3 linked regions of the Nothobranchius furzeri genome follow. The protein of the gene in region 1 purifies or fractionates together with the protein of each later gene. This does not show direct contact. Links are inferred from orthologs where the notes say so. Each region holds a gene or a part of one and is shown in the gene's direction. Other genes may lie near its edges.

What was found.
Region 2: the proteins of peripheral plasma membrane protein CASK (region 1) and sntb2 purify together in Homo sapiens (affinity purification with mass spectrometry; 3 studies listed by BioGRID and IntAct, with this or other methods). This does not show direct contact. The link is inferred for Nothobranchius furzeri from reciprocal best matches to the Homo sapiens genes CASK and SNTB2.
Region 3: the proteins of peripheral plasma membrane protein CASK (region 1) and rho guanine nucleotide exchange factor 26 purify together in Homo sapiens (affinity purification with mass spectrometry; 3 studies listed by BioGRID and IntAct, with this or other methods). This does not show direct contact. The link is inferred for Nothobranchius furzeri from reciprocal best matches to the Homo sapiens genes CASK and ARHGEF26.

Annotation. Positions count from the first base shown.
Region 1 is NC_091754.1:50,587,601-50,591,252, forward strand, and holds part of peripheral plasma membrane protein CASK, read left to right. Parts: intron 1-2,826; coding exon 2,827-3,005; intron 3,006-3,109; coding exon 3,110-3,232; intron 3,233-3,367; coding exon 3,368-3,451; intron 3,452-3,556; coding exon 3,557-3,652. UniProt on the Homo sapiens protein: Multidomain scaffolding Mg(2+)-independent protein kinase that catalyzes the phosphotransfer from ATP to proteins such as NRXN1, and plays a role in synaptic transmembrane protein anchoring and ion channel trafficking.
Region 2 is NC_091744.1:86,335,206-86,338,857, forward strand, and holds part of sntb2 (beta-2-syntrophin), read left to right. Parts: intron 1-368; coding exon 369-511; intron 512-3,652. UniProt on the Homo sapiens protein: Adapter protein that binds to and probably organizes the subcellular localization of a variety of membrane proteins. May link various receptors to the actin cytoskeleton and the dystrophin glycoprotein complex.
Region 3 is NC_091753.1:51,579,483-51,583,134, reverse strand, and holds part of rho guanine nucleotide exchange factor 26, read left to right. Parts: intron 1-592; coding exon 593-802; intron 803-3,652. UniProt on the Homo sapiens protein: Activates RhoG GTPase by promoting the exchange of GDP by GTP. Required for the formation of membrane ruffles during macropinocytosis. Required for the formation of cup-like structures during trans-endothelial migration of leukocytes.

The DNA of each region.
Region 1 (3,652 bases):
CGATATTAACTACGAATTGTCCTTAAGGTTAGGACAAAGACGTGAGGGGTGTTTTGCTTAATAATGCATTACTTAATATTAACGTTTATATAAAGCAGTTGTTACTTTAATAGTATATTAATGCTTAATAATGCGCCAAGTTACATAACTAAAGGGACCCTTATTTTAAAGTGTTACCAAAGAACTTTAATGTAGGAAGGGATAAAAGAAATAAGGTAAGAATAAAGAAAAATGGGCAAATTAGTTATAAAACCTTAAAATATCGATTTTCAAGCTTCATTATTCTGCCCTTCTTACCCTCATGATGATGCTAATTTTAGTTAAAGTTGTTCATTTAATTTGACTAAATAGAAAATAATCCACTTGAGTAAATCTTTACTGTTTATAAATGTAATTCCATATAAATTAAGTTAACTTTTAATTAAATTTAAAGGTTTTGAGTTATAATGTTGCCCAACCCAATCCAGTAGATTAATCCGTTAAAAACTACTGTTGTTACAATTAAGGAATGGTTTCATAATATCTTTGTTTCCAACTTGATTTCATTCACTGGTTTACAAAATTCAAACAACCTTTTCTTTCAAGGCCGTGCTCAAAAAAGCATCAACTCCCTCTGAAATGGGGTTAAAATTATAAAAAGAACACCCTCAGACGCACGTAAAGCTGAAACATGTCCTTTAAACACGCAACAATCAAACAAAGCTGCTTGTTCTTCTCGAAGCGGTTCCTCCTTTTGGAGAGCTAAGAATAAGTTCTGCTCGTGACATTTGTTGCCATCCACTCACTTGTTTCCTTTCAGCAGTAACACCCCTGGCTGAGCAGCCAATCGGAGCAATCTCACCGAAGGGTCCAGTTTGACAACAAACATCCAACAGCCTCAGTCATCCATGCATACACAAAAAACCACGGACAGCAAATGTTCATGCACTCCTGATAGTTTCCTCATTTCTTTATGCCATGTTTTTGTAAATAATGACAGTTTTGCCTCTGAATAAATAGTTTTCTGATATATTAGAATATCAGAATATACTAAGGTTAGGTGATTAAAGGAATTATTCAACCGTCGGCCATCGTTTTTTATTAGCGACGGGACATTGCAAACTTCCACATCAAATCAGCAATCTTTTTTGCGACACTTGTTCTATGTACATATACATATTACACATTTTTTGAAAACAATGATGAATTGCAAATCTTTAAATCTGTGGTCAGAGATGCGAGGGTTGCATGTTTCTTCAACCTGGTGTCTTGGAGCAAAGGGAATCCCAAGGTGTTGATCAGCAGCATTGTTTCTCCTGCTTTACCTACAGCCTCCTTTCACTCTGATGGGCATTACCCCCCCCCCCCCCCCCCAACTTATTTTGTGGACTAAGTCAGTAAGGTTAGATCTAGCATCTCTAATTCAGCTTTATCTCTGTTCCGACCCAAACCCGGCCCGTCATTCTAGATAGTTTTGCTCCTGTTTCTGCCTGAGCTAACCAAACGAGTTAACTCTATGAAGACCTCTGCATGCCCCCTTGACATCTTACTAATCTTTGTTTAAGAATGCTTTTCAGTCCATCGGCTCCAGCGTGCTCTCTGTAATTAACGCTTCTCTGGTTTCTGGTCAGGTCCCCCTTTTAGAATGCTGTAATTCACTCTCCTCCTAAAAATCCCAGTCTTGACCCCTCTCTCCATAGCAGCTTCAGACCCATCTCTAAACTTCCGTTCATCTCCAAGATCTTGGAAAAGGTTGTGGCTAAACATCTAACAGCTGTTCTTAATGAACTGAACACCTATGATTGCTTACAGTCAGGTTTGCGTAGAGCTCATTCTACTGAAACAGCTCTTCTTAGGGTCTCTAATGACCTTCTGACCCACAGTGATGCAGAGGACTTTTCTGTTCTGGTCCTGCTGGACATCTCCAAGTTTTGGTCCTCCACCACATCCCTCACCCATGGTGTCCCACAAGGCTCTGTGCTGGGGCCTCTATTCTTCCTCCTCTATCTGCTTCCTCTTCAGCACGTCCTGAGTTCCTTTAAAGGAATCTGCCACCATCTTTATGCAGATGACATCCAACTTTTATAAATTAGTGTAAAATCCTCGACCCTCTCTTGCAGAGATGAGGGTTGAGCAGAAATGTTTAGTAACTCTGTAAAGGTGGTTTGATTTTCTGATACTTAAAATAGGTTGTAGTTTATTTAATTGCAACCTGTTATATATTATCGCAGTTTACTGTCATTTGTCCAGTCGTTCAAAAAAGCTTTACGATGTGAAAAAAATGTAAATAAAACAAAGTGTGTGTGTATGCAAGTGTGCTCAAGGAGGGGGTGTTGTGCGACAAAGGGAGGCCCAGTGGAGAAGATTTGGAAATCATTGATATACTAATGTTTAATATAACAAGTAAAACATATTAAAAATTGAACTTTATCCAGGTGAACCAAGGTTTGTTAAAGGGGAGGCTGTGGTTCATTACAAAGTATCTTTTTATATATATTTTTCCTTTTTGTTCTCCAAGTTGTTTAGGACTTTCTCATTACTTCCTACAAAGTACAAATACTAGAAAACGGAGTGGTTTTTCCTGGAAACAAAGTTGTCCAATATTAGTTTCAGCAGTCCAAGAGCGATGTCTAGGTGTTACTTCCAACGTTTGTTCTGGTAGCCATAATAAATGATAAAATACCAGTGAACCGAATTTCATTTGTTTTATAATCCAACCATTTAACAGAATCACAAATTAAAGTTGTTGTAATTTCACGCTCTACGGACCCTGATGCCAGGCTGTTACTAGTTTCATTTCCACTCTCAGTTCCTCTTGGTGGCTAATATACAAACTAATCTCCTCAGGTCGTGTTGGCACGCCTCACTTCATGGCCCCCGAGGTGGTGAAGAGGGAGCCGTACGGCAAGCCCGTGGACGTTTGGGGGTGTGGAGTCATCCTCTTCATCCTCCTCTCTGGTTGCCTGCCCTTCTATGGCACCAAGGAGCGCTTGTTCGAGGCCATCATTAAGGGGAAATACAAGGTGGTGGTGATCAAACCATTTCTCTCATTCGCTGCACTTCATTTTGTCGCTAGCTTAGACTCAGGAGAGCTTTGTACAATTCTACAAAAGTGCTGATCTTTGTGCAGATGAATCCGCGCCAGTGGGCCCACATTTCAGAGAGCGCCAAGGACCTGGTGAGACGCATGCTGATGCTAGACCCCGCAGAGAGGATCACCGTCTACGAGGCCCTGAACCACCCCTGGCTGAAGGTTAGAGATGAGTCGCAGCCACCTTTACCCCAGCTGGCTCAAAGCCACAGCTTTGCTTTCTCATCTGTCACACTACACCCCACATCCCCTGGTTTGTGATAAGCACATTGATGTTTCCGACTTCTCCACCTGCAGGAGAGGGACAGGTACGCCTACAAGATCCACCTGCCTGAAACGGTGGAGCAGCTGAGGAAGTTCAACGCCAGGAGGAAGCTGAAGGTTAGCCGCCCTGTGACAGATTCTGTGGTCTCTTTTTAACGTTTGGTCATTTGGTTTTGAGGCGTTTCCTCCAAACATGTCTAAAAACACACGTGTGTTTTCCAGGGTGCAGTGCTGGCTGCTGTTTCCAGCCACAAGTTTAACTCCTACTACGGGGATCCTCCTGAGGAGCTCCACGACTTCTCGGATGACCCAACCTCC
Region 2 (3,652 bases), on another chromosome or scaffold:
CTGGTAAAATTGTGAGTTTAAGCAGATAAATTGCTGTTTATACAACCTGTGGAGTTTGAAACACTAAAAAAATGTGCAAAAGATGTTTTTATTAAAGCGAAATTCACATTTTCTCTGTTAGAGATGCAGGATGAGTTCATAAGGAGCAGCTCTGTTCATTTATCTGCCCTGATATCATGTTGTGTTTAAATTCAGACACGGTGGGTGAGGATGCAGTTTTTTCACATCTAGAGTTTTAAAAGCAGACCTGAAGCATGACTTGACAAAAATGACGATATGTTGTCTAATTAATTCCCGTAAGGAATCCTGATAAAAACACGTCTTTTATAAGAGTTTCCTGCTGATCCTGACTGACGTTCCTGATTCAGATCCAGCTGGAAGGCGGGCGGCAGCAGTTCCGGCCGCTGGTCATGGCGCTGACAGAAAAAGACATCCTCCTGTTTGAGTCGGTGCCGTGGAGCCGAGAGTCCTGGTCCATGCCTGTGCTCACACACCCGCTGCTCGCCACCAGGTAGAGGCCGATCCAAAATCACAACAAGCTTTATGTGCTTTCATTTCTTTATTGAGTAGCATCTCCAGTGTAATTAAGCTAGAACAGAAGGTCAAGGTCAACTTTATTTATAGAGCGCATTTACCGCAGCAAAGCTACACCAAAGCACTGTACAAGGTAAAACAAATCAAGATACAACAGATCAACAATAAAAACTAAAATAAGATGAACACACAACAGTCACAATCTATGATAAAAACTGTTAAAAACTATCAAGATGCTCAAGTCAGCCTGCATTAAAAGCCAAATCAAAAAAATGCGTCTTAAGAAGGGATTTAAAATGCTCTAGACTCTGTGTGGTCCTGATGTTGAGAGGTAGCTTGTTCCACAGTTTGGGCCCAACCACAGAGAACGCTCTGTCGCCGCGAGTCTTGTGGCGGGTTTTTGGAACTGTTAAAAGAGCTTGAGAGCTGGACCTCATGGTTCTGGCGGGGACGTAAGCAGACGGCAGCTAAGAGATGTAAACTGGGGCCAGGCCATGAAGGGATTTAAAAACAAAAAGTAAAATTTTGAAATGGATCCTGTAAGAGACAGGAAGCCAATGGAGAGAGACCAGAACCGGGGTTATGTGATCCCGCTTGCTGATTCCAGTCAGCAAGCGGGCCGCTGCATTTTGGAACAGCTGAAGTCGGTGTAGGGAGGACTGGTCCAGGCCAGAATACAGGGGCCTGCAGTAGTCCAATCGGCAGGACACGAACAGGTGGGTGACATGTTGATAAAAACCTGATTGGACCACTGCACTCACCTGTCTGTGAAGATTAAAAGAACCGTCTAAAAACACACCAAGGTTGTTAACACAGGCTTTTAGAAAACCAGAACAAGGACCAAGAGGACTGGTGGCCGGGCTTTCGCCCATGGGGCCCGGCCAGGCTCAACCCGGACCGGATACATGGGCTCATCCAACTGTGGACCCACCACCCGCAGGAGGAACATGAAGGGTCGGGTGCAGTGTGGATCGGGTGGCAGACCAAGGCGGGAGCCTTGGCGGTCCGATCCCCGGACAAGAAAACTGGTTTTTGGGACATGGAACGTCACCTCGCTGGCGAGGAAGGAGCAGGAGCTTGTGGCAGAGGTTGAGCGGTACCGGCTAGATATAGTCGGACTCACCTCGACACATAGCATTGGCTCTGGAACCCAAGTCCTTGTGAGGGGTTGGACACTCTCCTTTGCTGGAGTTGCTCCGGGTGAGAGGGGGAGGGCTGGGGTTGGCTTTTTGTTAGCCCCAAGACTCTCTGCCTGTGTGTTGGGGTTTACCACGGGGGATGAGAGGGTAGCTTCCCTCCGCCTTTGGGTCGGGGAACGGGTCCTGACTGTTGTTTGTGCTTATGGGCCAAATATCAGTTCAGAGTACCCACCCTTTTTGGAGTCTCTAGGACGAGTGCTAGATAGTGCTCCATCAGGGGACTCCATTGTCCTGCTGGGGGACTTCAATGCTCACGTGGGCAATGACAGCTTGACCTGGAGGGGTGTGATTGGGAGGAACAGCCCGCCTGATCTGAACTCGAGTGGTGTTTCGTTATTGGACTTCTGTGCAAGCCACAGTTTGGCCATAACGAACACCATGTTCGAACATATGGATGCCCATCGGTACACTTGGTACCAGGGCAGCCTAGATCGCACGTCGATGATAGACTTTGTAGTCGTATCATCTGACCTGCGGCCGTATGTTTTGGACACCCGAGTGAAGAGAGAAGCGGAGCTGTCAACTGATCACCACCTGGTGGTGAGTTGGATCATATGGCAGGGGAGGATGCTGTGTAGACCTGGCAGACCCAAACGCATAGTGAGGGTCTGCTGGGAACGCCTGGCAGAAGAACCTTTTAAGACGGTCTTCAACTCCCGCCTCCGACAGAGCTTTGACCGCATCCCGAGAGCAGTGGGGGACATCGACTCTGAGTGGGCCTTGTTCCATTCTGCGATTGTTGAGGCGGCTGTTGCTAGCTGTGGTCTCAAGGTGGCCGGTGCCAGTCGTGGTGGCAACCCCCGTACCCGCTGGTGGACAAAAGGTTCGGGGAGCCATCAGGCTGAAGAAGGAGGCCTACAGGGCGTGGCTGGTCTGTGGGTCTCTGGAGGCAGCAGACAGGTACCGGATAGCCAAGCGGGGTGCAGCAGTGGCAGTTGCCGAGGCAAAATCTCGGGCGTGGGAGGAGTTTGGTGAGGCCATGGAGAAAGACTATCGATCGGCTCCAAAGAGGTTCTGGCAAACTGTCCGGTGCCTCAGGAGAGGAAGGCAGCAACTCGCTCACACTGTTTACAGTGGGGATGGGGAGCTGCTGACGTCAACTGGGGCAATAGTCGGACGGTGGAAGGAATACTTTGAGGAGCTCCTCAATCCCACCAATGCGCATTCCGAGGAGGAACCAGAGCCGGGAGACCTGGGGATGGACTGTCCAATCTCGGGGGCAGAAGTTGCTGAGGTAGTCAAACAACTACACAGCGGCGGAGCCCCGGGGACAGATGAGGTTCGTCCTGGGTATCTCAAGGCTATGGATGTTGTAGGGTTGTCATGGTTGACACGTCTCTGCAACATTGCGTGGTCATCGGGGGCAGTTCCTGTGGAGTGGCAGACCGGGGTGGTGGTCCCCATCTTTAAGAAGGGTGGCCTGAGGGTGTGTTCCAACTATAGGGGGATCACACTCCTCAGCCTCCCTGGAAAGGTCTACTCCATGGTACTGGAGAGGAGGGTCCGATCGATAGTTGAATCTCAGATAGAGGAGGAGCAATGTGGTTTTCGTCCTGGCCGTGGAACTGTGGACCAGCTCTATACCCTTGCAAGGGTGATGGAGGGGGCATGGGAGTTTTCCCAACCAATCCACATGTGTTTTGTGGATTTGGAGAAGGCTTATGACCATGTCCCCAGGGGCACCCTGTGGGGGACGCTCCAGGAGTATGGGGTGGGTGGCCTTTTGTTAAGGGCCATTCAGTCCCTTTACCAGAGGAGCGTGAGTTTGGTCTGCATAGCCTGTAGTAAGTCGGACCTGTTCCCAGTGAGGGTTGGACTCCGCCAGGGCTGCCCTTTGTCACCGGTTCTGTTCATCACTTTTATGGACAGAATTTCTAGGTGCAGCCGTGGTGTGGAGTGTGTCGAGTTTGGTGGCAGGA
Region 3 (3,652 bases), on another chromosome or scaffold:
TTTCTCAAATACTTTTCTTTTTACTGCTCCAATAAAACGTGCTTTTTACTCAAGAGCGCTGTGTTTCCATGCAGCCAGACTGATTTACTGTTAACAGGGAGGGATTATTTACTTACAAGCTGAATAAACCAATTAAGTGTATGGCCTGTATTAGTATAGGGCCTTTTGGGGTACTACAACCATCCAAAGCGCTTCACAACACAATCAGTCATTCACCCATTCACACACTGGTGGGGATGAACTACGATGTAGCCACAGCTGCCCTGGGGAGCACCAACAGAGGCGAGGCTTTCCGAACACTGGCACCACCCATCCCTCTGACCACCACCAGCAGACAAGGTGGGTTAGGTGTCATGCCCAAGGACACAACCGCAGCATCCTCTGGTTGGAGCCGGGGCCGAACCTGCAACCTTCCGATTACTGGAGAACCTGCTCTACCTTCTGAGCTACCGCTGTCCCAGAAAAAGCGTCTGCTCGTTTGTAAACGAGTCTGCATAATAAGTTGCTGAATGCTGAAATTGACCCGGCCTCTGAGATCAAGTCTTGATTACATAAACATAATTTTTCTGTATTTATTTATTTATTTTAACAGCGAGGACAGCTACTCCGTGATCGACTACGCCCTGAGGGATCAGATCCAAGTGGGCACCTGCCAGCCGGAGGAGCTCAACCTGTCTCCGGTCAAAAGCCCCACCAGCATGTTGGGCTCACGGCAACCCGGCGCCAGCCACGTCTTCCGCCTGTGTTTCCGTAGCAACCACTCAGATGTAAAGGTGCCCATGATTCTTGGAACGGAGCTGCTGTAAGTGCATAGTTTTGAAACCGTCGTTCCGTCTAATTGTGTTTTCATTGATCGTTTTCCACTTTGAATTTGGTTACTTATTGCTAGAGCGCATACCCTCAGGCACCCGTGAGTCATGTTCACCTGCGACACAACAGTGCACCTGCATGTTTTTACTTGCTTCGTTTCATTCAGCGTGTGATTTACCGGTTTGGGGATTTAATCAGCAAACTAAATCTCTGTTCCTTTAATGTGCTGAATGGGCGACTGCTTATCCCTGTGAGAGAATAAGGTTTGCTCCCGTATCTCCTTTATGCATCCGTGTGCCTTTTAACTTGAACACAGCTTTCCCCTCCATTCTTACCTCTTTTCTCATAGTCTCTGTTGCACCATTTACAGTCGCAGGGATATTTTCTTACATCTGATCAGAAAATGGATAAACGGCTCTGGAGGGTGACCCAGGAAATACTGTTTTTTTTGTTACACTGTAAAACAGACTCACTCAGCCACATAATTGATGTATTGAGTTATTTCTGTTCAAGTCTGAAGAAAGCTGCTTGTAACATGTGCAGCCTAAATGCTAATGTACCCAATTTAAAACCTCAAAACTTTGCTCTAGTCAGTATATTCAAAAACCGTTATTCCCTCTCTCTCTGTGCAGCAGTTAGTGAAAAGCACGGATGTTCGGATTACGTAACTTGCACAACAAAAGGGATGTGCTTTATGTTTTCCATCCTATTTGTTTACATGCTGAAAGACACAATCCCACAAGATGAAACAGTAATTATCTGCTATGGTTCCAGGCTTTGTTAGAGAACTGTTACTCACGCTTTTAAACGTGGAAATTATAAAGGTTCGATTATAGACGAATTACATTTCCAGCATTAAAAGAAAAACTTTATGAAATCGGTGTTAAAGAGCAAGTCACCCCCAAATCAACTTTAGTTTTGCTGTAGCTTAAATGTTTGCACGACATTTGAATTGAGTCACTCAAAGCAGGTATTTTCTACGGTAGCCAGTATCTCTGATTGTGGCCGCTCTTAGCCCCGCCTCCTGCTGGCTCAGCCACTCACGAGCCGATATGAAAAGATACAGCTCGGAGCCGCTCGCCTCCTTCATTAATCCTTCCTCCCTTTTCCTTGCCTCTCCTTCCTCTGGTGAAGAAATCCTCCACTAGGAAGCCTGCTCCTGTTTCTGTGTCCAAGCAGTAAGTGTGTGTGTGCACGTGTGTTTGTTAGCGGCTAATTTCTCAGACGTAAAATCTCAGAGAGGGGGTGGCGGGGTGCAGCTCTGTCAGTCACTGTTGCAGCGCCGCCCTCTCGGCCCGCCAGGCAAACCCTCCATTTGGTGCATTTTTCAAAAAGGAAGTGTGGGTGGAGTAAGACTCTGGTAGGGGGTGACTTGCTCTTTAAACATGAATCCAAACATTAAAATTGGTTTCATAAACCTTCTGAGTGAAAGACCCAATAATCAGTGCATTTTCACTGTTGATTAGTGTCTTTGGGTAGTCTGGCAAGCCAGACTAAATAATATATTTCATATACTCATTGACGGCTCTCAGTCGTGGGGCGGGTTCCACCATTGTCTATCAAACAATCTCCGCATGCTAGTGGACAGTGAACAATGTGACGTAGTCATCGCAATGGATGTCTGTAAACAAGGCAGTCCGCTGTTGAAGAAAGCGAAAACACATCCTTTTTCTTAAAAAAAGAGGACTTAAATACATCTATCAGCTCCTGATTCTAATAAAGCTCACGTCCAAATGGTCCAAAACTGATGTGAAAGCCATTTCAAACGAGCTGTCGCCATCTTGTTCCACTCTGTTGCATCATCCCGCCCACCAGACGAAGAGAGGGTCTTGATTGGCCCACAAAGCGGATAAAGCGTGGTGATTGGTTCACAAAGCAGATGACTGGCCCCCCCATTATGGACCAGTCACAGCTCTCCATGTGTTTGAAACTATTATTATCATTATTGTTATTATTATAAATATTATTGGTAACATTTTCATTGGATCTCAAGATTAAACATTTCCGATGTACAGGAGCACATTGACAACAACATTTACTCTGCTCCAAACGTCTGTTTGTTTGGAGCAGAACCAAGATCAGCTGCTTTTAACGTCGTTCACAAATTATCTCAGCTACACCATGTTGCTTTGATCCACCGCCGCAATTTAATGCCTTCATCATGTTAACTGGCACACAGATGAGCACATTTGCATCGTAACACACACACACACACACACACACACACACACACACACACACACACACACACACACACCGAGCCCCAACAATGAAAACACCAGTCCAGTGGTGTCCAAAAGTAGCTCCATTGACGGTTCTCGTCATGGGGTGGGGGGATTCTACCGTTGTCTTTCCAACGATCTCGCATTCTACTGAACAACCAACAACGTGACGTACTCACCGCAACTGATGCCGGTAAACAAGGCAATCCACTGTTGAAGAAGGCAAAAATATTCCTTTTTCTTAATAAAATACATTCATCTGCTCCTGATTCTAATAAAGACCAAATCCAAATAGTCCAAAATGTAAAAGCAGTTTCAAATGAGTTGTCGCCATCTTGCTCTCCTCCGTTGTTTCAACCCACCCACCACACCAGTAGAGCGCCTTGCTTCGCCCACAAAGCCGATAGAGCGCTGTGATTGGCCTGCCAGAATGCTGCTAGGGGCCGTGGAGGTTCCAGTGGAGCGTTCATTTTGGTCTAGTTCACTAGGCTAGTCCAAAAGCCCTGCTCCTCCAGGCCCGCTGACCAGCATATTTTAGACATTTCCTTGCTGCTCCAACACATCTGATTCAGTGGTTGAATCACCTGTTCAGCAACTCAACGAGGAGCCTGATTAAAATC